Linked DNA regions of Neodiprion lecontei. Each later gene encodes a partner of the first gene's protein in a complex. Links are inferred from orthologs where the notes say so. Each region holds a gene or a part of one and is shown on either strand. Other genes may lie near its edges.

Evidence for each region. The genes of interacting proteins can lie anywhere in the genome.
Region 2: WASH complex subunit 4 (region 1) and WASH complex subunit 3 share a complex: the UniProt entries of both Drosophila melanogaster proteins name them as parts of the WASH complex. The link is inferred for Neodiprion lecontei from reciprocal best matches to the Drosophila melanogaster genes SWIP and CCDC53.
Region 3: WASH complex subunit 4 (region 1) and WASH complex subunit 5 share a complex: the UniProt entries of both Drosophila melanogaster proteins name them as parts of the WASH complex. The link is inferred for Neodiprion lecontei from reciprocal best matches to the Drosophila melanogaster genes SWIP and Strump.

The regions. Positions count from the first base shown.
Region 1 is NC_060263.1:182,867-194,678, forward strand, and holds WASH complex subunit 4, read right to left. Parts: upstream 7,169-11,812; 5' UTR 6,843-7,168; coding exon 3,561-6,842; 3' UTR 2,634-3,560; downstream 1-2,633. Other genes in the region: CUE domain-containing protein 1, read left to right, coding at 1,490-1,591, 1,681-2,059, 2,154-2,246, 2,345-2,481; cell cycle checkpoint protein RAD17, read right to left, coding at 7,455-7,551, 7,625-7,740, 7,815-8,005, 8,181-8,270, 8,366-8,544, 8,667-8,789, 8,860-9,016, 9,137-9,551 and 1 more; U4/U6 small nuclear ribonucleoprotein Prp31, read left to right, coding at 10,109-10,229, 10,320-10,517, 10,671-10,875, 10,965-11,134, 11,226-11,383, 11,468-11,758. UniProt on the Drosophila melanogaster protein: Acts at least in part as component of the WASH complex which may regulate wash nucleation-promoting factor (NPF) activity and is required for its membrane targeting during endosomal sorting.
Region 2 is NC_060262.1:41,778,685-41,788,946, reverse strand, and holds the start of WASH complex subunit 3, read left to right. Parts: upstream 1-3,988; 5' UTR 3,989-4,144; coding exon 4,145-4,195; intron 4,196-4,675; coding exon 4,676-4,840; intron 4,841-4,992; coding exon 4,993-5,273; intron 5,274-5,353; coding exon of another isoform or gene 5,354-5,372; exon of another isoform or gene 5,373-5,440; intron 5,441-5,692; coding exon 5,693-5,765; 3' UTR 5,766-6,013; coding exon of another isoform or gene 6,014-6,034; 3' UTR 6,035-6,351; coding exon of another isoform or gene 6,352-6,468; 3' UTR 6,469-6,748; coding exon of another isoform or gene 6,749-6,922; 3' UTR 6,923-7,316; coding exon of another isoform or gene 7,317-7,319; 3' UTR 7,320-7,850; intron 7,851-7,918; 3' UTR 7,919-8,322; intron 8,323-10,262. Other genes in the region: 60S ribosomal protein L44, read right to left, coding at 6,014-6,034, 6,352-6,468, 6,749-6,922, 7,317-7,319. UniProt on the Drosophila melanogaster protein: Acts at least in part as component of the WASH complex which may regulate wash nucleation-promoting factor (NPF) activity and is required for its membrane targeting during endosomal sorting.
Region 3 is NC_060261.1:22,757,808-22,767,321, reverse strand, and holds the start of WASH complex subunit 5, read right to left. Parts: upstream 5,498-9,514; 5' UTR 5,404-5,497; coding exon 5,282-5,403; intron 5,042-5,281; coding exon 4,951-5,041; intron 4,860-4,950; coding exon 4,668-4,859; intron 3,663-4,667; coding exon 3,448-3,662; intron 3,365-3,447; coding exon 2,998-3,364; intron 2,910-2,997; coding exon 2,634-2,909; intron 1,948-2,633; coding exon 1,722-1,947; intron 1,659-1,721; coding exon 1,423-1,658; intron 1,420-1,422; exon of another isoform or gene 1,346-1,419; intron 1,088-1,345; exon of another isoform or gene 649-1,087; intron 1-648. Other genes in the region: uncharacterized protein LOC124293002, read right to left, coding at 9,318-9,514. UniProt on the Drosophila melanogaster protein: Acts at least in part as component of the WASH complex which may regulate wash nucleation-promoting factor (NPF) activity and is required for its membrane targeting during endosomal sorting.

The DNA.
Region 1 (11,812 bases):
CGGCATCACTGAATAATTTTCAATAGGGCTTATATATTATATGCCTTGATCGAAAAGAAAAACTATAAGTACAAGCGTTTTAAGAGATAATAAATGTAGGTACGTAATAATTTGTCCATTTTTTATTCTGGTGTTTTCCGAAGTCCTTCATACAATTGGATGTAGATTACCGGGAATCGTTTTATGATCGGTTCTGCATTCAATTTAAAACGTAAATGTGTAGTTAGAATAGAAAAGGGGAGATTCTGATATGTCCGATAAAATGATACAATTATAATTCAGAATAGACCTTTCTTCATCTTTATCGTCATATTTTTATATCCGCCAATTGTTCGATTTGAGACATACTACTCCGTGGTTGAGACGCCCTGGTAGCAAAATTTCGTTTCGCTACAGCCTAGGGGTCCTAGGGGTTACTTGTTAGTTGGGAAACTGGCTACATTTGGCTACCTGTGCGCCGATTTTTGGCGATTTGCGGTACTATTTATTTAGGAACCCCGCACCATGAAGACTAGAGCAGCCCCCTGATACACGCTGCTAAAAGCGGTTCGCAAAATGTCCCTCGATTCTGCCGCCAATCTCCACCACTAGTGGCGCTAGTAGTTGTCTGACAAGCTCGCGCGTGGTCAGCGAGGGCAGCGAGCGTGTCAGAAATCTACTAGCGCCACGTAGAGGAACTAAAAAACGGGGACAAAACACGTACAATTTTTTAGTATACGAGCAGTGGTGAGTTCAGGGGGCTGGACTAGAGTAAAGGAGTCCGAACGCACAGTGATGAAAGATCTTGTAGTTCGGGATGTATCCTCAAGCGATATCAGCGCCTGGTTACGAATAGGATACATACGTGAGGATCGACGATTCAAAAATCACCGCGCTGACGATGCCCGCAGTGGTAGCGCCGCCAGGCGGTTACAATCCGCGGATCGTTCATCACTTTCACCGACCATTTGGCTAGCATTGCGTTCGGACTCCTCACCTCTAGTTACCATGCCCGCACCTTGGCAGCACCGTGTACGTAACTACTTACTTCACGCTAGCAGCAGTTAGAGCGTGCAGCAGCGGGTGGCAGCGGGCATGAGCGGGCAGTCGAAGCCGAACCGAAGAGCCGAGTCGATTTGAGAGGGATGCGCAACTGTCATAACAGCAGCTCGTTTGTAATCCGGGTAAAGTGATGATGATGAGTTCTTTATTATGCCAGAATGCGAGATCTTTCTGCGTATTGGGGTTGGAAATCCTATGAGGATATCAGCAGGGCGCCGGGCAATATACAATAGTTTGCACTGGGTCGGAGCAATCGCGGCATCGGCAAATTAGAAGTGCTCCGTGTCGCGGGGAGTACGTATGTGTGTGCGTTATACGTGCGAAAAATATTTCAAAATGGATATTATTGTTTGCGACGAAGTCACCGCTCCACGTGATACAACAAAGGCTATAATCGCTCGACCGTCGCAGCGTTGGTAATGCAAAAGTAAGAGAGCGCATCTTTGCCATGGCGTCTGCTGCAGAACAGCAACAGACTACCCTGGAATTTTACCAGGCAATGGCTGACTTCAAAAACATGTTTCCACAGATGGACGATGACGTTATCGAGGTACCACCTTGTTTACACCCAACACCTCCACGTATATTTGAAATAAATACATACAGAATATTTTAAACTTAGCTCATATCTTTTTCCAGGCTGTGTTACGTTCGAACCAGGGTGCAGTTGACACAACTATCGATCAGCTACTGGCAATGAGCACGGACAACGAGAATGAAAAGATCAGAAGTGAGATTGAGCAGAGCGAAGATTCATCTGAAGATAATCAGGCTAAAATCGAGCCTTGCAAGTCGCTGAAGACTATTCACAAGTGGCAGCCTCCCTTGCTAGGTCCGTTGCCAGACACATTTCTGAGGCTTCCCAGGCAGTGGAGCGAGAGCTGCGAAATGCCGGAGCCTGGCGGCGCATTAGAAGGCTCCACACTGGAGGACGAACGTATTGCAATCTTTCTTCAAAACGAAGAATTCATGGCAGAACTGAGGTGGAATGAAGATTTTCTTTCCACCTTGGCCAGCGGTCAGTCGATGAGTCAGGCAAATTATAAAGAAGAGCAAATGTACGCCGTGTCTGATACTGATTAATCCGACCATTATTTTTGTTTTTTTTGTAGATACTAAATTAGACGAATGTGAGAAATCTGCAGGCACAGTAAGCCACGACGATGAGGATTTATTCAAAGAAAGATTACGAAATATGGGTAAAGGTATTGAGAAACGGGATTTATTCAATAAACTGAAGCTGAGGCCTGCTTTGCCAAAGAAGCGTCTAAACTTTTAAATACTTTTTCACATACTGTTACAGTTTCGCGGCGTAAATTCGCCCAGCTCACCAAGGTGTTTACACGGAGTAAGAAACGTGGTGGAAGACAGCTGCTACCACCCACACCATCGTGTGACGACCTTTTGGAATCTGAGGAAGTATCCAGATCTCAAAACTAGGCTTCCGCCTGTTCTCCAGTACTTCCTTGAAAGGAACAGAGTTATAATCTCTAGTCAACATCGTTATCCTGACCAGATTGAATAATATTCAGGTTAGAAATGTATGTGGTGTAGAAAAAAAGTAGTAATGTTACTGGTTTTTGAAGAAAAGCAAAGATTCTAGTCACGCAAGTAGGAGAGAATCAGTGAAAGAAAATATAACAATGCAAGCAAATGGAATCCTCAACAAGCTATATTAAAATAATAACCCAACGTATACTTATATTGTCGCTATAATCACAAAAAACTTGGTAATTATTGAGGTGAAGAGATATTGTTGGAAATAGTCAATACCCTGGATACACTTCAAGGATCTGGTAGCTCTTACACGTAATCAAATCAGAGATATTTAGTCGTCGAATTTCATTTCTCTGGAATCAAATGAAAATTTACCTCACAAAGGACCCTTTACGGATTGCGTAGTTATTCAGGAATCAAATTTAATACCTACTTAATGCATAAAATGAACTACTTGGGGTTAGTCCCGCGGCAGAAGCTAATAACTCCAAACGATTAGCTTTGAATTCGTGCCTCAAGATAAACCGTAACCATCCTCGTTTCAATATCATTCCGTGTGCTTATCAGAGAACTGTTCAATATTAGGATTGTAAAAGCAATGTAATCTCTTCTGATCGGCATATCTAGTCATTTATCTGTCTACCAATCGTCGAATGTATTATACTACCGATAATACTGTTACTTTAGTACAGTTTATAAGTAAGAAAAATATAGCAAAGACGTTGAAATTCGTCAGACATACCAATAAAAAAATTGCGCGACAGAAATTGAAGTCACACTTATGGAAAACCTGATACCCACAGTGTGCTAGTTTTGTACCAAGGTGAGATGACACATTTGAAGGACAAACTGAAACTAGTATCAGTATAAACTTAGCCGTTTATTTGAGTTACTTAAAAATTGTATATTTCGTAATACAGAGCATGGTATTATATGCTTGTTATGAAAGTCCCTATTATACGCTTGGTTATAATATTCAAACGTGTTTTTCAAATTTAACATTAAAACTTATAGCTAATGACTCAGAGAGAAGACGTATCCGGCTGCTTGAAGAATACTCGCGCGCCCGAAAGGCTATAATAGAGAAGTTGAAACTCAGCATTTCTTTCTGCCAGACATTTTAATGTTAAAGCTCTAGTCTGTTGTAATTTTTCGTCGCCACAATCGTCTTTATGCTGCGCCGCTATTCTTTCTCGAGTCATTTGTTCCTCGACGGTTTTGAACCACTGAAGTCCGTCTATTTCCGTGTTCTGATCAAGAAGGGCGTTAATGTATGCGACTCCCATTGCAAATCCATCGTCGGTGAATGCTGCCCCGGTCTTATTCTTTTTAGACATTTTCTCTTTGTTTCCCAGAGCATTATCGACATAACTGAGTGTGAGTGGAGGAATGATGGCGTAAAATTGTTGTAAGTGGACGTTTTTTGTATCGCGGAATGCAGAAGCGAATACATCTACCAGTAGTCTGAAGTATTGTGTTCCTTCCGTGAAGCTTTGCACTAAATTTGCAATGTCATCGTCGAGCCGCTTTCCGGCAGCTTGTGTAGTTATTGTAAAGTCCAGCTTCTTACATGTCGACTCAAACACAGTGTCAGAATTAATTGTGGGAAGAAAAGCAATCGCGTTGGAACAAGCGTCCAAACCCCCAGACCGAATCAGTCTAACGTAACCAAGGGCATTCCCTATTTGAGATACCAGAATCCTAAATTGATCTAGATAACTGAGACCATCCGTCGTCATTCCAAGCTTGCGTATACCCTTCTGAAACTTCTCAGCTCTCTCATATGTATAAGGAGTCGCCCTGCTCTCTCTCTGTAATTTGATGAATCTGATATCTCGTATTAATCGTGATTTTATATGTTCATCAAATAGGAATTGTGAAAATGTGTGTAGCTTCGCACGGAGAAATTGATAGACGAAATTCACTGTAGTGCTCATTATTCCATTGCCATGGGTTCTGATCGAGTTCGCTATGTGCCTTATCCCGATTGTGTTCAGATATTTATTAGAACTAGTACGCTCTATGAAAGTCTGTGTATTTAAGTTGTACAAGTATTTGGCAACGAATGTGTCTATATTTCTCATTATTTCAAGCGCATCTAAACCCTGTTCCAAATTCTGTGTTGGTAAATGATCCTGAACCATTTCTAGATTCAGTTTATAGCCAGCTAATCTCCGCATTGTTCCGTACGTCCTCCAGTCATGTAGAGCCACGGTGGTGAGATTGTAAAACATGCTGTCCAAATAATGTTCGATGAACCTCTTTGGGCTTAAGAAATTATCAGCAACAGGCAGTGGAGAGGCTCTGACTATCCTGTTGGAATTAACAGCACCAATCTTGAATGGATTCGAGTCATCCAGCTTGAGATGCGCGTGAACGTGTAACCTCAGGCTGGTTTCAATCTCGTGACAGGCTGGTTCTAGCACATTTTTCACTAGCATTTCCCTATGCTCTTTATTTCTGCTTCCCACGGAGTTGGGAGGCTCGTGATCCGCTACTGCACTATTTAGTGCACCGAGTAAATGAACAATCCGACTTATATCTGAGTTGCCATCTATGACCATGCTCAAGTAAGCGGGCAGCATGCTTCGATGATAGAGTACGCTAGAGTAATCGCAAGCCTGCCTAACCAGGTCATGTAATTCTGCGATAGTATCGTAGGCGTCCAGATATCCCCTCAATTTGATTAGTTCTTCCTCTTTGAAGCTGTCTGTCAGTTGGCTAGCAGCTGCCAGAGCGCAGCGTGTTATCAGCCTCCTGTCGTCTGTCGGGGGACCGTTCATTAGTCTCATACCAAGGCCTATCAATGTCATAGTATCGAGCTGCTCCCTGCTGTATCCTTTGTCCTTGCTAAGCATCAGTCCTCTCTTGGCCGTTTCGAGGATGACCAATATTTGATAACAGAGATGCTGGATAACATGGCTCTGGGACTGAATAATGACTGAGCCGAAAGTGTAAAACGTTGTTTCAAGTGACTTCTGCATTTCTATGAGTCTGCATACAAGCTGGACAATGTTTCGGCTCATTGGTTTTAGCAGAGCAGCGTGAAGATTAGTGGTGAAAAATATATTCTCTTTTACCTGCTGCACCAGGATTACAAACTCAATAAGCATACAGCACCTTCTTTCCAGATCAGATTGGTGAAATTTCTCAACAGGATGCACGATAATGTTCTGCATCTCGACTGACCACTGGGTCGCCCTTCTAGCCAGGGAATTTGTGACTTCTGGCAATCTTTGGATCTTAGAGGCAAGGATCTTTTCCCCGGCTTGCGAACCGACTACCAAGCCAAATTCTTTTGGGACTGAATTGGCCAAAAATTTATTTGGAATCCAGATAATATTGCCAATCAGAGTAATAGAGTAGTATTTTTTATTCATTTCGCAAAGCCTCTTAAAAATCTTCTTATCTACAGTTCCGAACAATTTGACAATGACGACGACCCCTACATTTGTACGTATCCAGTTTTTGTTAAACAATAAATTGTCACTGGCTTTCTTTTCCACATCCAGCATAGTATTTTTCAGGTAACAAGCGAAGTGATTCTGCATTATTGGGCTTTTTTTCACATCCATCGCCCTGTCGATAGCTCCGAGAAATAAATTGTTAGCCAAAAGTTGATGGCGCAGATCTTTCAGCAGCTTTTCAAAAGTACGTAACTTTGAGCCAGGTATATTGAATTGCTCAGAATTGTGGAGCATTGTGCTAGCGCGGACGCAGTACTGATCCCAAGTATCGAGTAGCGAAGGTTGAGCAACGATGATCTCATCTAGAGTTACAAATATTACAAATAAGTCAACCAGATGTTCAATGACCAGCGGAAAGTATATATCATAGGCATTGCCCGTCAGATTCGACAGCTGCTGGATGGTCAAATTTGCGACAAGCGATACCCGTTTGACGTATGCTGACAGGTCCTGCAGAATTGATAACAAGACATTGACGTCGTCCCCCTTTTCGTCAACACTGCATCGTTCGCCCTGGGTGAGTAGCCTCTGGTAGAATTTATTACCTTCGATTTTCAGTAGTCTGATTTCCCTGCAAGTACCCGCGACCGCCGCGAGAAGCTTGGCCAATGTTTTGTTCTCCATTTCTACCATGTCCATTATGGTAATGTCCTCGCGGGGGTTGTAAACGAGATGGATCGGCCCTTGGATGACGTATTTCAGAGATGTGTCAGGAACCCAGCCTGAATCCTCGATTGATTTGTTAAAAAAGTTACCATACTTTTTTAGCTGCGCTTCTCCGACCGTTCGATGAATTGCCTCATCCCTCGCACTGTTCCACGATATTGAGTCTATCATGTTAACGGTGCGGATTTTTTCCCTACGCAATTTCACACTATCAATATCAGTCAGTTGTCAGTTTTGCCGTCCATTACGCTTCTCCTCCGCGTCCGGCGTATACATTGTAGGTTAGTTTACCGATGTCAATTTCCACTGGCGGATTTGAAGGTTAGACAGACTGTCGGAAACCGAAGAGTATTAGTAAACTCTTTGGTCGGAACGATAACAGGACAACCCGTTTGTTGCGCACGCCCAATGACGCCCATATAAATCACGATCTAGGCAACCAACGCTGCGTGTCACCAGATAAGAATCACACCCACATCAAACCGTGGTGAAACAAGGGTCAAATGTCGTCAAGCTGTAACCAGGGTCAAGTGTGAAGCAAATTTTCGATAAGATCATTTATTAACCAGTCGTCTTTGTGCAGCTGTTACAATAATTCAACGGGCTCTTAGTCGAGCTTGTTCACAGTCTCTGTATGAAACGTATCTAGAAATAGCCGTTTAAATAAAAAAATAATAATATCTGAACAAAATATAATTGGAAAATGATCATTGACGAAACACGTGGTATCGGCAATTTGTTTTCGGGTCGTGAAAAATCTTGGTATTTTAAAATGTATATCCTTTAATTTCCAAGCCCCTTGAATGTTATTGTCAAGGCTAATTTAGGGCTGATCAGCGATTTGTACCAGAGGGTTTCAGTGGATGCGAGATCCCTGCAGCTGGAAATAACAATGAAAACATTCATTTCCACATATCGAATTCGAAACTATAACCATGCCCAGCTATACACACATTTTTTCGTCATTACGTGGTTTTCTTACTGGATTCCAACCCGGCACAGGATCATTGTTGGTAATCATTATTCCACGGATACAAAACGAGAGTCCAAGTCTGCCCAAATGCGAGTCCTGAAATTTTTTCATTGTCATACAACTTACATCACATATTATTTACATATCACTTTGGAATGTAATCCACATACCCTCCAATCAGATATAAGACAATCTGAAATGCTAAGTATATCAGTGGCTGCAGTAGCTTCTTCGATTCCTCTTGTGGTATTCAAATGATTTTCATGTAAAAACCGCGCGAACGTAGATGGTTGAGTTTGAAAGAAGTACGCAATTTCATCTGGGTCATGTACAAACTTCCATGAATTTCCTTCGACTAGACCTGAAAATTTAAATGACTACCAAGTACTGGATAATCAAAAAATCGGTATTTTCGGAACTTCACGTTACTTTGAACGGAAGATTAATTTAAACTTGTGATGTAGCTCATAATTCACATAGCATATAATTCTACAAGATGTTTTTCGATTTACTTCTGAAAATGAACTATAACTTACGTTTGGGATTAGTTACTCGACCGATGGCATGAAGTAGGCTTAAAGATTCTCCACGACCTCTTCCTTCGCAATCGATTTGTCTATTAGGTACTAAAAGCATACGTACATTGAATAACATTGGAGCTAAATCCAGCAGCTGTATATAAAGCTGTGTAAAGTGCTATGAAAAGGCTGTACGTAAAAACCTTTCAGAGAAGCGAATATGAGGTTAATAACAGTGCTCCTAATATCTCCGATATTGTTGGATAATATTTCTTCTACGATATGTTGAGACACGTGTACCATGTGAGAGGCTCTGGTGTTAAAGACTAGTGAAACTCTCTTCAAAATATTCTTCGTGACCGCTTGTGTGACTGGATTTATGCTGCAAAGCAATACAGTCAAATTCAACGAGTTGATTACAGTGAAGAGTGATATATCATTATAGAATATTTTTCTAGTGCTACAAAACCACATGAAATGTCAATTTCATCACGAGAGCCTCACCTGATATGACAAATACCAAATTTTTCCCTGACATTTGGTGGAAATAAGGTTTGCAGCGCTCCCATGCCCCCTGAATCAGTGCAAATAAATACAACTGGTTCTTTGCCCGTCCCAAAGTATTGCCTGATAAATAATTATAACCGTCATACTTGAATTCAACATACATAATGCAAAATCTGGAACACAGACTCACTCGAGGAGTGTGTGAAAGGCATCTTTATCGTTGAAGTAAACATTTGGAAAATCCTTAACGAGTAGTAGGCGTCTGCAACAATCTTCAAAGAGAGAACCGTATCTTGTAGTTCTGACCATAAAATCTTGAAATTTGTCTCCTTGCCTCGTGAATCTATCTATGAGAAGAGGTAGTAAATTATTTAAGGAGTATTTATCATCAACATCAAGTGTTTCTCCTATTTTTAATCATTGAAAATAAATGTCTTTTATGCTATCGACAGTATTGATCAACCTACTATTTTCATCCGCGCCTTGATCAGCCGGTGTGATCCATTCGACACATTCAAACTCCTTCTCTTTGGCAAGTAGTTTAAAGCTAACGGTTTTTCCACAACCCGAAGGACCAGAGAGAATCAAAGCGCATGGCTTGCTCTTGATAGTTTTATATTCCAACCAATCGTATATTTCTCTTTGTTTTTGTCGGCTAATAGATAACTCTGAGGCTTCTTGAGGTTCGCAAGCTTTGAGAAGAGCCGGTAAGCTGTTTATATGTGTTTTTTTGTCATAAATATCAATCGTTCGTGACACTCGGTCTAGGGACGGTACTTCTGTTTCTATTTTCGGTCGCTTCGCAGGTGTCACCACATCTCGCTCACTCACGTCACAGTCAAAGGACCATGACATCCGACTACCTTTATTCTTCTGTAAATTCTAACGAATTTGAAAATTTGTGAGATGACTGTGGCACGTGATAAGTTTGGATCTATTATGACTGTTTTCTGTATTCAATGCTTATTCACCTTTGAACCGGACATGTCTGATTCATTTGCGGAAATTCCTGGACAGGGACTGTGGTTCGAAATTACTTTAGGGCGTGCCTAACTGGGTTCTAGATCTAAATACTTCCTGATTGTTACCTGCCGCCAAACTTCAAAGTGACAGAATGTTCGTTCTTTGGTTCATTCAAGTTATTCGCTTGTCTCTGCAGCCATCTGTAGCTAAATACAGGAACAACGTGAAATCGGCCATTTTTAAATACACACAGTGGGCATTGGCTATTGGCACCATTAACCTCTGTTTATGATAAACGGTTGAGCCACGAATAGTATTACTTCGCGGGTTGAGCACAGCAACGTCGCGCGAGACTTGGTGAGACGTAAACAAAAAGGTTGCTCAGATTAGGATGGAAGAAGTTTAGGAATTGAGGTTGAAGTTGCAGAATCCTCCAAGTACATACCTCTTGAAATAAACTTCCCAATTAATCCAAGATGTCTTTGGCTGACGAGCTGCTGGCCGATTTGGAGGAAAACGATGACGCGGACAAGTTTATGGAAGAGGCTGAGCCGGAATTTATTCCACCTGCAGCCGTTGCTAAGACGATTGAAGAAGGTCAGGTTTACTATCCACGGTCTTTGTTGCATATACATATCAGTTACCGGATAATTCAGACTTCACATTAAATTCGATACTTTATTACAGAGGTCAAAGTTGCTTCCGTTCGAGAACTCGCAAAATTGCGCGACTCTCCGCAGCTCCAGAAAGTCGTTTCTCTCATAGACAGCTATGGCAAAATACCAAGAAAGTCAGCCGACATCGTAGGTCCGGTTGAATCCGACCCTGAGTATCAGCTCATCGTCGAGGCAAACAATATTGCCGTCGATATCGACGATGAAATTGGTAAGTTTCCCGCAGATTGCAACAGCTTTAACACGCTCAATGGGTGGTTCATTTTGTAATTGCCAGTCAAAAAGTAGGTTCTGGTTAGGGCAATGTGACAAGTTTTAACGGATACCAAATTTTGCCAATATGTATAGGTCCCTAATTTTTCAGCAATCATTCATAGATTTACAAGGGATAAGTACTCCAAAAGATTTCCTGAGCTGGAGTCGCTGGTAGTTGGTCCATTGGAGTATGTCATGACAGTTTGTGAATTAGGGAATGATTTGGATCGAGCTAAGAACAATGAGAAGCTGCAGCAGTTCTTAACGCAAGCTACTATCATGGTGGTGTCGGTGACTGCATCTACTACTCAAGGGTGAATTTTCCAATCAAGTTTAGCATCCTGGTTAAACAATTGCTGACTATAATTTTTTTTCATTCAATAATCTACGTTATATTCATTAGCCAACTTATGACTGAAGAGGAAAAAGAGGCAATTTGTGAAGCCTGCAATATGGCCGTAGAACTGAATAATTGCAAGCTGAAAATATTCGAATATGTTGAAAGCAGAATGGCCTTCATAGCACCGAACCTTTCTATAATCGTTGGAGCTTCGACGGCGGCAAAAATCATGGGTAAGTGAGGTAACTGTGGAAAACAAAGTCACTGTATCAATTTATTATCTTGAAAATTTGAATTCGTTTTTGTCCATTTCAATTGTTACAGGGATTGCTGGCGGTTTGACAAAGCTATCTAAAATGCCAGCTTGCAATCTTCTGGTTTTGGGCTCCCAAAAAAAAATGCTTTCTGGATTTTCCCAGGTGGCTGCCCTCCCCCATGCCGGATTTATTTATTATTCTGACATAGTGCAGGACACACCGCCTGTAAGTGTTTCAATGATTTCTTCCACCTTGCAATCTGATCTATCTTGATTTTTGCTCAACTTGGACTTGCTTTTGTGCTCACAGGACTTGCGGCGAAAGGCAGCGAGGCTTGTCGCCACAAAGAGTATGCTGGCTGCGCGAGTCGATGCTTGTCACGAGAGTACGGATGGTCACATTGGCCAGGCACTGAGGGACGAAATAGAAAAAAAATTGGATAAGCTGCAAGAACCCCCGCCAGTAAAATTCATAAAACCTCTTCCAAAACCGATCGACCCTGGTCGAAAGAAGCGAGGCGGTAAACGTGTACGGAAAATGAAGGAACGATATGCGATCACAGAATTTCGAAAGCACGCGAACCGGATGAACTTCGCCGACGTAAGTCTTTTCTACAGTTCAAGATATCAGGCCGTCGCAGATTTCAGAAATCTT
Region 2 (10,262 bases), on another chromosome or scaffold:
ATCACTCACGGTGCGCCCACGATCCACTCCTGAATTCTGTCATATTCATCGTTACGGGATCAATTAACCCCCTCTCGTAAATTGGTTACAAAATGACGTCCAACAATTAAAACCCCACTCGACCTTGAAATCATCAACAACATCGTCGCCACACCTAGTCACCTGACGCAGTAACAACTTGAGGTCAAAACTCCTTTTATCGCAATTATCTTAAAAATAACGCTTAACAATTTTTTTTTGGTCGCTTTACCCAGAATAATACCTCACATGAGGCCAAAATTTCAATATCGCTCTCTGCCGCCTAAATTGTCTGAACTCCTCTGCAACAACACCCTTCAACCAAGCAATCGAATCAATCAACTCTCTACCTTCTCGCAAAAATTTAGCTCATCCTTTCGCTTCCTTCACTCACAACCGATCAGGTCAACAGTAGAACTTGGAAAACTATGTTTCGCCAAGAATCAGCAGGCCGTACTCCAAAGTCTCTCAACTAAGTCAAGTATCGCATGGATTTTCCATTTCAATCCTATCTATCGCAACTATCTCTAACATCTCTAACGATCATCTAGTCACATGCAAAAGTAAGTAGTCAACATAATGGTTTCCTAATGGCAAAGGACCTCCTCGGTCCTCCGTAAGGAGGGGGGAGTTGTGACGTGGTATTTCGTACCCCGTCACTTTATTTAATTATCGCATTCCTCTAGGTACAAATATCGCTAAAAATAACGAAAGCACGTCTGAGGCCAATACTCCAAAAATGAACGACTAATTATCTTTAAGTTGATTTCCCTTTACTAAGCTAATTGTATGCTATTTTCTAATTCTGTAATGCTCTTCGAGAACCATCCGCGAGACCTTCACGTCAAGGTACCAGTACACTTCCTGACAGGGGTCAAGTACCAGCTCAACATCAACACCACCGACTACAGACGAACGAATACCGCTGAAACCACTCCCGATGGATGCCTATCTAGTTGTCGAAAAGGGTCGTGCGTGATGCACAACAGCACCTCCAACTATTTGAGACTTATCGGCCAGGAGCCGAACCACGAACGAATGTTTCTACCGCTCGGATGCATCGTCAGGCGGCGTACAGGGCTGTGCGTCAAAAACACAATGAAGCCTCCCGTCGACGATACTTATCAGCCTGGAGCTGAACCGACCCTAATATCTACTAAGTCGTTGACTATACAATAGAAGACGGTTTTCTCTTAACGAACCGTCTTATCGAAGGACTGCGGCGTGGAATAGGCTAATGATATGCTGACCACGTGGATCTGGTGGATCTAGTGTGGGGATCCGGGTTGAGGGCCATCACCACCAGATCGTTCCGGCATGAGGGCTTCCATGAGCGAGGGCCGGGATGCAGCGCCGACGAAATAGCTACAACGGGGAGTACCAGTAAAACAAGGAGTGAGTTACAGTCTGTCGCAAGTCCAGGAGACCGGTGACGTAACATTGCCGCACACATCAATATCGCAATACCTGAGCAGTACGACCCCACCCCCTTCTCACCAACGATACCGCATAGCTGCAGGAAAACATCTCTAACCACCTTCCGACGTCCTGATACCTCGATACCCGTCGTCGAGGGAAAAGAACATCAAACGGCGAGGGATTATCGCCGCCTATCCGTGGACCAGGCCACGGGACCAGCTGGTCCAATTAAGATACCGCAAATTTTGGGAAGAATCACGTGACACCAGCTCGATGAAAATCAGGATCATCGCTCATCTCATTACTCTACGTTCAGTTGTCAATTAAGAAAGACGTGTTCTCGATATCTGTAATAGAGTTTTTTTTTTGGCTATCATTGTATTAAGTTTATCGCTAGTGTACCGCATCCTGTAGTATCTACTATATCTTCTTTTACGTAAGTGAGGTTCCTTTGCTATTTTGTGAAGCCACGAGATTACTTGCAATATATCGTACCTTTACCTTTATCTCTTTCTCTCTTTACCTTGCAGTTGGTCTGCTTGAGCCAATTGGGCTCGTATCTTTTCTCTTTACCTTGCAGTTGGTCTGCTTGAGCCACCTGGGCTCGTACCTTATTATCTCTTATCTTGTCCCTTTCTCTGTCTTATTGCAAGTAACTTCGCGACTGGTTGATTATTACTTACGCATTGTAGTGACTATCGCTTTATCTTATTATCTTTCTCTTTTAGAATATTTGAATGTCTAATATCGCTGTCTAGCAGCGCGTTCCGTTAAAGGATCAATTTTTATCTTAGCTACTGAGCATTACTATTTTGTTATATTTTCTCTGATTAGTTTCTATCTGTCTCTTTATCTATTATCGTTGATTATCGCATCTTAGTGAGAGTACCGCGGGAGCGATCTTATATCGCTGCGCGGTCCCGTTCGTCGTTCATTTGACATTGGAGTATTGTGCCATATCGCATAACATCTTTTTCACTATTTTCTTCGCTTATATCGCTGATCGTAGTTGTCCGTAGTCTATTGGGTTTGCCGTACGTGGCATATTAATTACCTTGAATATTGTTTGCCTTATCTTGAATTACCTTTTATCGTACCGATTATTATCTTTCTTTCTCTCGCACTTACCGCAAACCAGAGACTACGTATTATCTTTTATTCTCTATATTTTATAATAATTTTCTATTTGACCTATCGCTTGAATTTACCTTGTAATTCATAATTCCCTGTCTGCCTATTTCTGATCATTCTGGTAATGTGATAACTATTTCAATTGTTGTATTTCGCATGAGTTATAATCGCTTCTCACATTTTATGATTTATTTGCTTACCGCTTAATTTAAGTACAGTGTATCTCTTCTGTTCTGCCTACCTGTCATAGAACCGTGTTAATCATTACCTTTAATATCGCGAGCTTGCTCATATTTCCCGCTTATTCGGAAAACGTTCCGTTAATTGTTAACTCTCTCGCTTAACCTTTCTCTGGCTGTAACTATTGTTAATTATCGCATATATCGTATTTGTATCGCAAACTCTTCCGCTACTTGCTTGTCAGTAAACTTATCGCTTCTTGTTTAATATATTTGATATTATTCCTGCTTCACCTGTTTCTTATTTTATCTATTGGATTCGACTCCGCCCCTCTACCATTATCTTGTCTCTCTGAGCGAACTGTGCAAAACCGTCGTAGAACCTGACCTTACCTTTATCTATTACCTTTATCTTTATCGTTGTCTTTTTCTCTAATTATCTATTTTTGACGCATGTGCGTCTGGCGCCCAACAATTGTATCTTTCTCCCTTAGTATCTCTCTCTATCTAATTATTTAGGTTAGCGACTGCGCCGTAGGGTAACCAATTATCGTTATATTGTTTATACCCTCAAATATAAAAATATCCGGTTACAGTGTATATTATTTGACAAGCACAATTAAATCCGGTTAGAAGAGCATCAAAGAACACTGCACATGTATCATAATATGTCTGTGATATTTCAAGCATGCAAATTTAGTTTATGCGGAAGTTTATAGGGATTAAGAACAATCTATTGTAGTTTTATAAGTTATACACACAACTATATTATACGTATAATGCATTAATATCGACGATAATTGTCAATTAGATTTTGTGGTACAGAAGCGTTTTTAACAATAAAGGTACAATGAGTCGAGCCGATTGAAGAGAAAAGTTGAACTGCACTTTCTGCACCTTCAAACACTATAACTTTGTCATAGTCAATTAGGAAATGTGCAAAAATAGTCGTACGTAGATATGTTGATGTATTTGGGTATTTGTTTTGTGCGGTGGGAAATGTGCGGTGTATTCTTTCGACTAACACCGCGGAGGTGGTTATGATAACAAAATCCGCCGTTTCGAATTCCATTCATTGTGTGTTAAAAACGAATTCAATGTGTTGGTTGATGTATTACGTTGACTGAAGAATATTCTTCAGGCAACGTGCATTATTAGGGTTAGCGCGCAAAGAGTGAATCTTGGTTATGTACTCTACTCAAATTCAGCGCGTAAATTTGTCATCAAGCGTGGGTGACTCTGTCAGTGTCTGCTAGAGGGTCCCTCGGAACGAAACGTCAAATCGTACGTCAAATGGAGAAATGTCAGAAATCAGTTGACCATCAGAAGTCGTCACTTTAGGAGACTCTAGGTTACATTGTACAATATTTCACTCTCTTCTTAGCAAACTGTGCAACATGAACGATTATGGGATTCCGATGATCGAACCTACCGTTGACTTTACTAAGGTTAGTTAATTTTATCCTAATTAGTCCTTCGTACAAGGTACAACACGATATCGTTCGTCCCCCGGTTCCCATGTCACCAATTTTCGTATCTACAGTTCAAATTTTTATTAGTTTACATATCAATCGTAAAATCATCTACGATAATCGCGTTTCTGATTCTATACCTACCAACAATTTCTATGCTCGTCCGACTTCTATTAATTACTCGGCAGCCAATTAGAATTAGTTTTCTATGTGTAGTCATGAGCGCAACGAAACTAAATTTTGGGTCTGCCAGTTACTTGGATCTGGACTGATCTGGGTACACATGGTGTAAATATCAGAAACAAAGTTCATATGACCTGTAAGGTCTAAAAGTTTTAGCTGACGTAAATAGATTATTAACATTTAATGCGTCCATCCTGTACAGATTAACAGAAATCGAAAATTTGTGTAGTTGGATTTTGAGTCTCTAACGTATAGAATAACATTTATTTTTAGGTCCCGCCGATTCATCAAAAAAGAACTATAACGTTCGTTAATCATTTTATTGTACATACAGTAACATTTTTGAACAAGTTCGCTCTATCCTGCGAGGAAAAACTGTTTGAGTTTGAAAATAAATTGCAAAAAGTTGAAGCGTCGCTAGGAATCCTTGAATCTAGGGTAAGCAAAACTACTAATTATCTTAACATGTTTATTCAGCATCACACATTACAGCAGAGGGACTATTCGCAAGTGTTAAGTCGACTTTGCACTTTTTCTTCATTTAATATGTATGTGAATAATTAAAATGAGACGCTGTGCTTTTTTATCAGCTCGCGTCGATACCAGAGATTGACTTTCCAACAAAGACAGAGTCTTCACCAATCACTGAATCAAGTGATCAAGAACAGAAAACGGTGGAACAAGACCAGACAAATGAGATTGAAGCGGTGAAAGCTGAGTTGATTGATGAAAAAAGTGAAATTAGTAACACGCAACCCATCAGTAAAGATCCACGATATGCAAAATTCTTTAAAATGCTTCAGTTTGGCGTACCTGCGCAGGCTGTCAAATTGAAAATGAAACAAGAGGGTCTAGATCCACTTTTGCTAGAGTGAGTATTTCCAGAAAATAACTCTTCTAACATTTAATATTTAGACTATTTATACATGAATTTGTTTTAAAATTTGAAAGGGGCTATGTACTGGGATAGGCTGAAATGCTGTTACAAAAATGTCAAACAATCTTCATAGACCTGCTGTAGCCTTCTTTTCAGTTTGTGTCAGTATATAATATTTATTCAAGATCTTTCATGTAATCTCTTATGTTTCTTCAAGAATATAAATGCAGATATTTTGGAATCGGCATATTCGTTCCAAAATTACTTCAAATTACCTTTTTGAATAGTTTTATTAGGTATTACGGATGCGAATAGAATTTCGAAAATGTGTCTTGTTTCAAGATATACTGAATATAAGACTACATTCACAGAATATGTGACAAAGAATTTAACACACTTTGATGTTCAAACAGCAATCCTGATCAGTTGGTTCCAATAACGGAAATAGTTGAGACAAATACAACTACTGATGAGGATGATGCTTGATAATAAACTGAAGAGTAAAGGAAGTATGCATATGAAACAGTAAGGTACAAAGAGTATTCACAGCGCTCACGAAGTAAAATATTTGTCATGTTGGAAAAATTTTGACAGACCCAGTTGATAGAAAAGAAAAGAAAACGTAATATATGCATTGTTGTTTGATATAACCATTTAGTAAATAAACACATTTCAAATCTTGAACGATTTATTTTATTTTTTTGTTTGTATAGTTACAATCTTAAACGCAAGGTTTAGAACTGGATCATCTGGCCCTGTAAATAGAAAACAAAATATTCTGCAATTGGTTACTGGTTTAAATTAATTTTTATGCGTGTTACTTCCATTCGGTTTAGGTGCGTTAGTTGTGGGTAAAATTCCTAGGGACAAATATCTCAAACTCTCATCAGACTAATATCGATAAATGTTTCAATCGCTTTTGAAATATCACCATATGGAATTTCGAGACTTGTTTCAGATTATTTAAATGGCACAAAGACTTAAACAAGTTTGAACTGTTTGGAATCAATTTCCACACATCTCAGCACCGAATATAAAACGATCTAGATGCACTAGGTTTTGAAAAACCCACCTTCCTCTTCTTATCACCTCCCAGCTCGAAATGTTTGCAACGTTTAAGTGGGATTTGCTTTCTGTACTTGCACTCAGTGCATTCCATCCTTAGCACAATTTTCTTGGTTGTCTTAGCCTGCAAGGAAAATAACGTCAATCAATAAAATGCTCTCTGGGTTATGACATACTGATCAGTTAGTCCAGTTCTGTAGAAGCTTCAAGCATGACAACTCCAGAAATGAATGAAAAACCAATGTTCCCATCAGTTAAAAAAAAAATTACTCACTTTTTTTATTAGAATTTTTTAGGAAAGTTTTAGAATTTTTAAGCTACCTTAAATTTGAAAAAAAAAAACTGTGGTAAAATATCAAATGAGCAATTAAAGTTAGCGAGTAATATGGAATAAGAATACGTACCTTCTTTCTGAAAATGGGCTTCGTTTGACCTCCGAAACCTTGTTGCTTACGATCATAACGTCTTCGGCCCTGAGACGCATGCCTTTCCTTGCTTTTCTTATATTGGGTGACTTTGTGCGGCTTGTGGACCTTGCACTTCTTGCAGAACGTGCGCCTCTGTTTGGGTACGTTCACCTGTAACGAAAGTTGTTAAGCTCAGGATGCAGGTATCTGTGTGAAATGCAGGCAGAAGAGCCCCATGAGATGTTCACGTGCAGTAAAAACCTCGCGCAATACATGAAATTTTTGGAATTGTCCGTCTTATCTAGTCCCCACGTCGGTAACTGATTTTTTAACAACGTATTAAGATTTATTAGTATCAGTAGGGGATTTCGAGGTTATGTTGACCGTCTGTCATGTCGTCCCTTCGAACGAGATCGCGAACTGGCGATTGAAGAGAAATATCAATTGAAATATAGTGCTCGGGTGGTTTGATCATGATATGATTCCATTAAGAAAATCAATCTATTCGTTTTGCAAGTCGATGCTGATGGATGAAACTCCACAAAATAAAACACAATTCACCTACCATCTTGGTTGTTTAGAAGAAAAAGGAAGCGGAGGCAGGCCGGAAATGCCTGTTAGCTGCGCGGTACGCTTGCGTAGACTTGTCCGCATGAGTTTAATACCAATATATTCCACCGTTTTCTGATCTCTTCAACCTCCGATACTTCTTTCGATCAATATCTCGAGCAAGGAACCGATGACGAATAAAATAGGAATCTTTTTCTCTACGTTATTCACTGTCGAGTAAGAGTATCACGTGCCGCTGCGATACCCACGTATATTTGGTAGGTAAGCCGGCTTTTTCTCGTCAGGAAGTTTAACAGGATTGAATTATTTCCGCTTAGTTATTTTACGAAATAGAATTTTAGATACCGTTAAAAAACTTTTTTGGACGTAATTTGAGTAACAATTTGATCGACGAATTGCAGCGCTAAAGCCAGTTTGAATCAAGCGACAAAGCCTCGAACCAGGGCTCCGAAGTACGCTTCGTACTCTCAAACCCCTCGTCCGCGGAAGTGAATAATTTTATTTATTCAATATAGATATTGATTGCAAGGTATAAAGGTTGAATAATTACTCATGAAATGTTAAAATTTATTCACTTTATTAATCGGTGCATTTCAGGTGCGGCGAGGCCTGAAGAGAGATCGACCAATCAGGGATTTATCGAGCTTCAAACCCGCGCCATCTTCATTTTTGAACAAAGCCAGGTTGGACGGTACGCCGAGTGAGTGAAGTAGTCCGCTTCAGTCCGCTCCGAGGTCCGCTAGTCCTCCGCTTTCGTAAGCGTTTCGTGCACTCGCCGGAAACCGACGCCGCCGTCGTTGTGTCGTGTCCCACGCCGAAATCGAGGCATCGAAGACACACAAGTTTCTTACGTTTTAACAATTACCAAATTAGAAAAAAAAACCACCGTCGTCATGAGTACCAAGGAGAATAACGACGTTGCCGTCGAGAAGGCGATTGATAACGAAAAAACCTCAGATGACGCGAAATGCGAAATCAAGGGAACGAAAAGGCCGGCCGAGGTAAGTTGTGTGCTACCCCTCTGTTTGTGTATTAAACGTATAAGTATGTAGATGTATGTATGTACGTGAGCTAGTACGGTGGATCGGCGAAGCTTCGAAAGCATCATAACAACAATTAATCTACGCTCTCGACGCGGACGCTCCGTAATTGCAAAATTTTTCCCTCAATACTTCATCTCGGCTCGGGGTTTGCCGCTATCCCCGCCACAACCGCGTGCCAATCCCGTAATTTTTCCATATATTTTCCATATCTCCCTGCGCGGCGTGACTATAGCTCCGCCGTGATGCATGCAATTGAACACGCGCGTGGATCAAATATGTCGCCAAACCGAGGACATTTGTACACTACACACACACACACGTACGCACGCGCGCACACACGTACACATCTACACACACGCAGCTACCTATTTCGCTCCGAAAAGTAGGTGAACCTTTCGCGCGCGCGTCGTTGTGTGCGATATGCGTATCGCTCGCTCGTGTGTGTATTAAGCGTCTCTCTCTATGCGCGTAGCGGCGTGTACATACGTGTCACCCCGTGATGCTACACACACATTGTTGGTGTGTAATGAAAAATTTCACCCAACTACATAACGCTTCTATTAGTAGTAATAGTTGTGTAGAATTGTAGTTTACAACGCGCTGATGACGACGATAGCCATGTGAGAGATGCCGGCCGGCGCGTCTCGTCACATACTCGACTTCTTTCCCTCCTCTGTCCGCTTCGCTTCTCTCTTCCTGTTGCAACGATCTTTATTTTTCCTTACCTACGCTGTCGCCCCCTTGACCGAGACATTAATTCTCACATTTGTGCATTATAAAAGCGTATAGAGCTCTCGCCTTAACCCGGCCCAAGACATAGCTCGTTAATTTTCCGGCCTTCCGATGACGCCATTAATACGTATGATTATTATTACTATCATTACTGTTTCGAGTATTACTGTTATTATTGCTTCTGTTGTTGATCGTGGCGGCCAGTCGATGCTAAAGAAAACTTATTTTTATTGTTGCTATCAACATCATCGGTATTGTCGTTACTATCATTATTATTATCATCATTTTATTGGAAAACTGGGGACTCCCGCGCATTTTTCTCACGACCCGATGCCCCCGCTACTGCGCTTGCCGCGTTTGTGTCGCTTGATGCTTCAACCACGCTATGGCGCCCAATAGTAGTAAGCAATTACTGTGTACACTCTTACGTGAACAACTGATTACAACATTTTGCCACGGAAAGAAGCTGATCACAGCTTCCTGACATCCTGACTTCCTGTTATAATAATTCATCCTTCCCGAACTGTCGACTATTCGTGGTTATTGAAATTATAAATTCCATTTTTTATTTTATTTTTCATATTAATTCTTCCCCCCGTCCGTCCACTCCATTGAGAGCTAATTTATAATTCGCGATATCGTTGCATTACAAAACCATTTCTCCATTTAACTTGGGTAGGTAGATGTGAGATGTGTAGTACAAGAATTTCCTTCGTGTATATTTGGTTATAATGATGTAGATATGTTAATATCGTAACTCTTGGATGTTGAAAAGTGAAAAGTGTAAATTACGTTACATTGCGAGAAGCTGGAAAGTAGATGATAGGGTTAGCGGCGTGGCAAGGGGGATATGTTACGGCGACGTCGAGAGGCGGCCAGCACACATAGATATAATATCCTCTACCTGTGATTATCAAACCGGCGCTCCGTTTGTACAGTGCCTTGGTATCCATTATCCACGCTTGCAATGAGTTAGAACGAAGTTCACGAAACATGATCTTGCCTCAATACACTGAGCAATATGCAAGGACTACTACCAATGCTGAAGACATCGTAATATTCCCCCTCTGATAATTGACGAAGGAATCCACGTATAAATCGTAACATATACCGTATATTTAGAGCGGCATGACGCTGGGTATTTACTGTATACCTATGGATTGGAT
Region 3 (9,514 bases), on another chromosome or scaffold:
ATTTACGTATAAGTGCGAATAACGTTGAAGCGAAATATCTAAATGTTTCAAACCTTCATGATTAGCAGATGAAAAATTCATGATTTCCAGTGGTTTTATAAATATTATTCGGTCATGTAATGTTGCCAACTAATATTATTAACACTAATTGGTAACACTTCAGTAAAATCGCATAACAGTCACACAGGCTGAAATTCACCCTAGCTCCAAAAGTGATATCCTGCTTCAACAATGAGTTCTAAAAATCTAATAAAAATATCCAGGTATTGATTAAGGGTCGCAGAAAAAGATCTCTTAGTTTTTCCCAATCACAATTGATTGTTTAAATATTGTAAAACATCGGCAAAGTTATGATACTAAAGGACTCTACGAGAAGTTTGAATAATGTGTTTGGTGATATTCACCCCAAGTGACTAATTAGAGTTAGTTCGAGCATTTCACAGCTAGCTTAAACATTCAAAAACATACTGCGCTGGTCTAACTTGTACCTTTTTCTTCTAAAACTGTAATTCTTCTCAAAAATTTTCCTCTTCCAGATTTTTTCTCGTATTTATGACTTATATTTATACATACAAACTACACGATCACATTCTAAGATAGTGAAATTACATCTCTGAATTTTTTGAGGTAGATTGGACTCATACATTCGACAGGTAACACGTCAAAAATGGAACAGGGTCATTTTGAACCAGAGTGTTCTTCATAATCCAAAAAATAAGTTAGTTGTCGAATGGTTAAAGTTAATATAGTGACGGTAAGTAAAAATTATCTCTCCGTAGATATGGTGCTGACCTGAACTTGCCAAAACGTCTTTGGGATAGCAATAGCCACATAGGTCAACCTGCGTCATCCAGCAGTAGATAAGAACACGAAATATCAAAACGCGTGCGTTAATTAGCGGTAGGCAAACATCAAATCGAAAGACTGGACTTAAAAATCAGCTGCAATAATGTTTAACAGTTAGAGAACAGTGCTATGAGACGGTTAACGTAGAGTATATGTGCCAAACGTTAAACGAGAAACCTGCAAGTGAGATATTTTCACATGGTTCATAGGCACAAATGGCCTCGACGAAGAAAAATTTAAGGTATAAACAAGAAAAACGTACAAGTGCTTAACGTTTAAATGAGGTTTTACTGTATCAGTAAACAGTAAATAGAAAATGTGGAATTTTTGACAAGAAGTTAAAAAATAATTGAACTCAATGGGAACTGCAGTTGAGATATGGATTCAAGGTTAAGAAAAAAAACCTCATTTCACCAATAACATGGTTCTTACTTTTTGACCGTGTGTGTGTCAATTTTCAGTGGACATAATTCACAACGTTTTTACGATTTTTTTTTAGAAATTATCAATGCGAAATATTACCATTTTTTACTAATAAAATGAGTATTGAGCAATATCAGGAAGTGAGAATAATACCTTCGAAAAAAGGGGTTTCAATTTGGTAACCATCGGTGGATCCTTTTTAATACACTCCTGCATGATGCTTATGAAAGACTCCATAATGTTCCATGCGTAGCTACAGTCTGTTACGATGTTTAAGGCGATCATTACATCCTCAGTTATGCTACTGGTGCGAAGCATACGCTGCAGTATATCACGAGTGTCAGCGAGGTACTGAGATATATGTAGATTATGCTCCAATTGATGAAACTCTGTAAGTTTATGTTACAACAATCTCTGAACAATTAACAAAAAACCATAGACAATCAACTTGCCTTGAACTTCTTCCAGGGCCTGAAACAGCTGCACTATCTTTCTTCCCTCGTCTTGCTGTAGGGAATCAACGTGTTTTCCTATCTCTTTGAACCATATCTGCAAGCATTCGTTCTTTTCTACCCCATCTAGCGGCCTGTTTCCACTGAACACTTCTGCCAAACCAGAAATACGTTCAACGCAAATCTCTTTGTGACGAGTCCAAATTGTTTCTTTGTCAGTCAGCAGCTGCGTAGGTGTTCAAGTATAGTTAGTATTAAAACAAAATGTAAAGATAACAAAGTGACTATCTGACAAAGCAGTTAAGGCAACTAATTTTTTCATGATGCGCTTTCTTTAAAACTCTACATTAGTATTACAGTGTCTAAGTATAAGGAAATGGATGGAGGAAATGGCACCAGCTGCAGTATATCTATTCGCTTCAATCTCACCTTGCATTGCATAAAATAATGCTGTGTAGAAAATTAATACTCACTAAAAGAACATTGAATTTACTGGATATTTCAATTTTTTAAAAGCCGAGGCCAGAGTTTATAACCACAAATCTACTTAAGAACCCCAGCATCTGCTGTGCTTAAACCGAATAGACAAACTGTAAAGTTGGACATCTTCAAAGTGAAAAGATTCACAAGTAGAATAAATATGACCTAGCAAATCCTTCCGTACAATTTCATTATCCTCGAATGCCTTTAAAATATCATTTCACACCTACTTAGTTTATTTGGGAAATTTATTTTCAATCTGACTTCACTTCACTCTATTGTACAATGTACAACATTTCAAAGATGCTGAATGTTCCACTAAGTAGAAGTAGACTGGTGTAAAATAAAGTGCAGGATGAAAATTATAACTGAGATATTTCATTTCTTCAATAACCATTATTTGAAATAATACGCGCCATTAACATGTCTCACCTGTTTGTACATCTGTTTAACATCTTGCTCTAGTTGAGCAGTATTAAGCAAAAGCCAGAGACATTCAATGGCGATGTATTTGGATTCCTGTATAACGAGTTGGCGGATACTCCGCGATCGTTTGGATCCTTCGCTGAACATACCAGGCATTGAGGTGTGGAGAAGGATCCAATGAAGAGTAACATTACAGTCACGAACAAGCTTGACAGTATTTCCGATTGCATTTTCCTCCACTCTTTTGGTTAATTGGAATTCTTTGGTATCGGCTACCTGTTTCTGAAAATCACAGGTAGAAACTTACTCAACATTTTTTGTTAGCATTGAATTTTGTTAGAAGAATAACGTACAGACATCGTATGCATACCTTTAACTTCTGCCCATACTTTTGAGCAATTTGTTTCACGTTTGAAACCTCAAACGTGTTATTGAGAGCATTTTTTGCAGCTTTATATGGCTCCCACCAGTCCCACAAGTTCAGGACTAGCCCCATGTATATACTGATCACCCAATTATCCGGAAAAAATCTATCGACTGTTTCTCTCATTATCGAAGTTTGAGAGTGAAGCGTAGACGGGCTGAAGGCTAGAGCCACGACTAGCATAGCAGCCTGACTGGCTAGCGCCATGCTCCGATGTTCTGGATAAGGAAAAGCCAGACTTTGATTGTATATTTCGTCCGAGCGAAGGCGACTTATTACGAGATCAACAAGAAGAGTGTTGAGCGGAATTCGTCTGTATACGAAAAAATTATTTTGTGAGTTTTTAACCTAGAATTTTGTGAATGTTCAATTCAAATCAAAGAGGGAAAATATTACTTAAAATATGCTTCCGGATAGTTTGCAGGGCGTTTGAAAGGTGCATTGCTAAATCCTGTTGATCTGAGTAGGACACAAACATCATCTACCCTTGTCGTTGATATATGCTGTACATTGTATCGGTAGTAGGAAACAAGCAGCCGTTCTCGAATTGGTCCTTCGAAGTGCAGATCAACCAACAAAAGCATGACTCCGTACAAATACACTGCCTCACACTGCGATACAAGGACGATTTCAATATTATTGCTCAGTTTGCTACATCATGTACGATCATGAGTGGGAAAGCAAATAGTTTTTGAAATTTTTTATCAGGGATTACGAAAGGTTTGAATTTTTATATTCTTGATCTTTGTCTGGCTGTTTATTGCGGGCAACCAACTGCGTCCAGGAATGAAAAACATCGCTCGTTTCGTGAAATTCGGAATTAACAGAAACTTTTGCTTTCAACAATTTACTGTATCAGATATTTCTATGTGAAACAGATGTGAGTTCAAAGTAATTTCTGCAATCCTGCTTTCGTCTTTCATATTCGATATATGAATTACTACTTTTTTCTCAAGTAAATCATGGAATTTTAGTTGTAGAAAAGAGATCAGAATAAATATTTTGTATAAAGATTGTTATATTATTACAAACTATGATCAATTTTAGACACTCAAAAGATTCTCCGACTTCTCTAGTAAACAGGAAATTTCTTTGAAGTGGGATAGCTTAAAAAGTCGTTTTTGATTTCTTTGTTCTGAAGAGAATTTCAAAAAAAGAACATGCTATAATAATCTGATGAAGTGAAGTTGTTTGCAAATCGAGTCATAACACATTCAAAAAATTGTAGCGCAGTTTGAAAAAGTTGACACAGCTGAAAGCTGTTCAGCATAGTATCCATTGGAATTAACATTCTTAATCACCAGGAATAATTCCTCCATCATTCCAAAATGTCACATGAAAATATGCTTCAGACAAAATTAAATCACATATGTTTTAAAAATAATATTCAGAATTGAGTTCATGCAGCAATATAACCTTGCTTTGGAATACAGCAGAAAGCTAACGACTATTGGAACTTAAATTACATTATATCTCTAATGAGTAAGCATCTTTTTTGCAAATATTTTTAAATAAAATTCTCTCCTTTTTTGCGACCACTATCCGCATATTTGGTTGATTAACTTCCTTAATATCGAGTAAACAAAGCTGACCAGACACATACAATATGTCCATACCATCAACTGCTTTCCTTCTTCACTGAGCATTATTGTTTCGATAGATTGCTGTATGTATATTCCATCCTCCAATTCTTCGGTAAAAGCATTCAAATCGGTAACATACTTGTGAATGCTTTCAAAAGCCAAATAAAATCTAGTCAGAATATCTGAAAATGTATCACGCATCTCTTCGTCCAGTTCCTGCGATACCTGGGTTTGTCAGACCATTTGGTTAGTGAGTAAACTATTATATTCTGATATAATACATCCATCTATAGCTTCGATTACAATTTTGACTCACAGAATCGTTTTCTATTTTATGCTCATACGCATCGGCAGCCTTGAAATAGGAGAAGTCCAAGATGATTTGGCTGTAACGTTGATCCGCCTGCCTATAAATTGGTGTAAGGGACAAGTTATGATAGTGAGATTGACGGACGTTTATAGAATAATGAATACCTCATTTGCAGTTTGACACCTCAGTGAGAACTTAATGTGGATGTATTATTTATGTGAATTGGAAATTGCTGAAGGTGTTCCATATGAGCATGACCATCGTGATATCGTTTTACATGCATATGCAGAATGACGATATGAGAATGAAGAGGTATAAACGAACAGAGAATACTAACCTAAAAATTGGCGGCACGTAATCCTTTAGCCGCATCAATTCAGCTATAATAGCATTTCCACGCGAAACAAGCTGTAAAATATTCTGGCCGCATCCGTTATTCAATGCCAGAAAGTCCCCCATTTTAGAGACAGGTTAATCTGTTGAACCTTTTGACGAGACACTCCACTTACAATTAAATAGACCACGTCAAAACATTAGTTTTCTGCTTTGCGGACTCATTGCAGCAAAGTCGGATAGAGTGCGTGAGCATGATTGCATTGTTGCAGGCGTTATAGATGCAAACTGTCCGCCTTATTAGCGACCTATTAATATACCTCGGGATATTCAAATACATTAATTATAACCTTAATTATAACTTACCGACTCATGTCTCAAATTCAACGTCAAAATGAACTTAGCCGACGTTGCGAGATTTTTCAGCTAACAAATTTTGCATTTTGCTGATTTATTTTCAAAATCACGTGCACTTACTTCAAATTTTGATTGCTGTTTTATTAGTACTAAGATCTTTACCTAAGAATTTGGAATCCCTTTAGATTTGCTGACCTTTTAAATTATCTCTTACAACTATTATTGACGCGGCTGAAGCTATCAACCAGAATTAGCAACCAAACGTTCTAATATTCATTCAAATAAGGTAATAAAGTGCAATAATCGAAATTTTTTTAAAACGTTGAACCCCCAATACTTTTATAGAATTATGAGGATAAAACTGAACTGCATGTTTCTATTTCGAAAAAAGTTTAACACCTCCATTAAAATTTGCTTTATAATAGTCAAAATATAATATGACAGAGCAAAATGAAATGAAGAGGAAAATATTTCAAATTAGACGCAGGTTGTAGTTTGTACAATAAAATTCGATTCTGGCGATAATTTTACTATCTTAAGAACTAATCTCAAATCCAACGCAGTAAATAAAACTAACAATGGGTGCTGATCAAAATATCAGGTCGAAGTTTGAGAACTTGAGGCCATTTCTTTGTAATTTCCATCGTCAAGTATAGTATAGTATAACCTGACTTTCGTTAACAATTTTTGACTTCAACCCAGTTCTGTTACAGCTAACAATAAGTGTAACGAGTTCTCTTAATTTCACCAGATTTTATTTAGAACTAATTGAATTCTCTGTGTCTGGAAGTCAGTACTATTTAAGTACTAGTTAAGAAAACGCTAAAACGATCGTTATGCATGTACGAAAATAATAATAACGAGTTATTCAGTCAAACTCTCCTTTCGGAGTTTTATAGGTACATATTTGTTTTAGCCACCATACATAATCCTACTTTTTCATCATATGACAATGTTCAATAAAAATCTGAATGCATAAATCCTTGCCGTATTTCATTTCTGCTCCCAACCACCCTGTAGATGCAATTATCTATGTAACCAGCTGCCTTAGATCACAAAAACTTCTCCAGTTTTTCATTTTGTTCTTCAATTTCTTTCGTTGATCTATAATTATTTTTTCTTCTGAGCGCATTTCGTATCCCATTTCTCATTGGGGTGCGCTAAAAATCGGTACTATAGTCTTCCCTTATCTCTCAAGCATCCAGTTAAACGCTTCCTTTAGGTACGTATATCGAGAATTATCAAGTTGCTTGTTATAAAAATGGCGCTTGCCCTCCCACCTGTCCATCCGACCCGCGCTAACACGCACAAGGCATTCTGTGCTATTCCTCGAATACTTCTTCCAATTGTGAACTCGAGTCTCGTCTTCAGTGATGTGTCCAGTTTCTGTTTAACTTTCTGACCTCTCGGTGAACTCTGCCAACTCTGCCATTTGATCCCGTAATGCAGTAATTTCGTCCCTTATCTACTGCATCGTGGTCAACATCTGCCTAAGCATTGAGACATTTATTTGCAAACCGAACACCTTTCTGACCGACACATTTTTGATTCAGCTGAATTTTTTTTACTGGTTTTACATCGAAAAAAAGAGATACGTATTCGAGGATTTTTTTTTCACATATTTTAGAAAATAGATGGGGTCGAAAATTTGAGAATCTGGTGATTTTCGGCGGGGAGACTCATTTTAAAAAATTCATAGCTCCAGTTCTATTTGAGCTAGATAGTTCTCTTTTTCATTTTAAAGCTAAAAGAATGAAATGTAATAAAAACATAGGTTCATTGAAAATTATTAATAAATGCATATTGTTATAAATAATTAAAATGTTTAAATCGATCTTTAACTCACCTCGTAGCGAGTTCTTAGTATAACCTTCGTATTCTACGTCAAATTCTTGATCAAAAAAGCATTTTTGAATGATGGAGAAATTATTGTTACTGTTGAAAAAAAATTAATTTATCTACCGCGGCACATTATATCGGCGCGCGGATTCCATTGCACGCCTCATTTTCTTGCCTCGTATCGTTTTTCTCTGTAATATAAATATAAATGATTATTCTATATTGTTGATAAAATAATATTATTTATTAGTAAATAAGACTTTATAAAAGATTGAACAAAAAAATAAAGACAATTTTTTTTTTATCTTTTTAATTCTGAAAAAAAATCATACCTTGAAAACCAGATCCCGGCCCATGATGAATTTTACACAAGTTTTTGAACAGTAAGAAAGGAATATGCTCTGAAATTTTTGTCGAAAGAAATTATGCCGCTTTTGAGAAATCTCAGAAACTAATATTCTTTGAGCTTTTACGGGGTTTCAGCGGCCACGATACCTTTTGCATAATTTAGCGCTGAAGTTCACTCAAAACTGAAACTTTTTCATATGCAACTTTTTTTTATACAATCAATAGCTTACGAGTAATACTTAATTACACTTCGGACGTTTCCGATTTCCGCAGATATTATACCGAATGCTAACGTCTAATAATAAGTGTTATGGAGTAAAAATCTAAAAAAAATCACAAACACTCTCGACAAGTAACAGAAAGTTTTCACGAATTTTAAACAGATTCGAAGAGACTTTTCCGCAGGTCAATCTGACGTGGAAAGCCACATATATATTATATATTGTTCTTCTTTGCTAATAAATAATATTGTTTAATTAAAAATATAGAATTAGCATTTATATTGCATATACAAACGATACGAAGCAAGAAAATGAGGCGTGCAATGGAATCCGCGCGGCGATGTGACGTGCCGCGCTAGATAAATTAATTTTTTTCCAATAGTAATAACAATTTATCCATCAACTAAAAATGCCTTTTTGATCGAAAATTTTACGTGGAATACGATGTTTATACTAAGAGCGCGCTACGCGGTGGGATGAATTGTTAAAAATCGAGTTAAACATTTTAATTGTTTATAACAATATAAATTTGCTGATAATTTTCAACGAAACTGTTTTTTCATCGAAATTCAGTCTTTTCACGTTAAATCGGCCGTTTTAACTCCGAAAATTATGAAACAAATCATAAATCTAACAGAACATATCTGCGCACATATCAAGGATTTTTTCAGATTTTTCGGTAGCAAACTCGAGCGTCTGAAAATTCTTGAACATTTGTATGAGTGGTGTATATATGACAGTTCAGGACCACACAATGGCGCGCATCCTCCTAGCTCCCCCCCTAGCCCCCCGTTCCCCTAAATCCGCGGTGCTGCCCCCTCCCCTAAAACCGCGGCGCTACCCCCCCAGGATTTGACACACACACACACACAAAATAATTCCTGTCGAGATTTGTTTGGCGCCGGAAAGCCGTGCATAAATCGGATAGGGTAAAAACCCGCTAGATCTATTGAAAAAATTCCAGGAAATGACCCCTGAAGGAAGGTTTAAAATGGCGTTTTGAATGCTTTTAACAATTTTTTTATTCAACATCAATTACACTTAGTTTTCTTATTCTATTCTAAATTATCTTATTCTAAATTTTAACGAGTGAAATTATACATACATAATATTTTCAATATCCATATTAATTGAACATATTATTATTCCAAAACTGACTTATACCAATTTTTTTACAGTACCACTAATCGGATTATATTCAACAATGCGGTCATGCAAGATCATGCAGTAGGCAGAAGTGTGTGGTGGGAACGTGATGCTAGAGTCAAATTCCAATCAAATGTCCACAGGTCCAATTTTTAATGTTTTGTCCTGCTTGGAGCAATCGATGACGATAAGGGGAGCTTGGTTTATAAATTCACGCTTCGATAGCAAAGGCTCAGCTTCTGTGGTTTTTGTGGAACGCATGCGCCTTACTTCCAAAATTTGAGTGCGGTCAATCGCGACGTCCAGAACAGTCTGGTCATGATCGT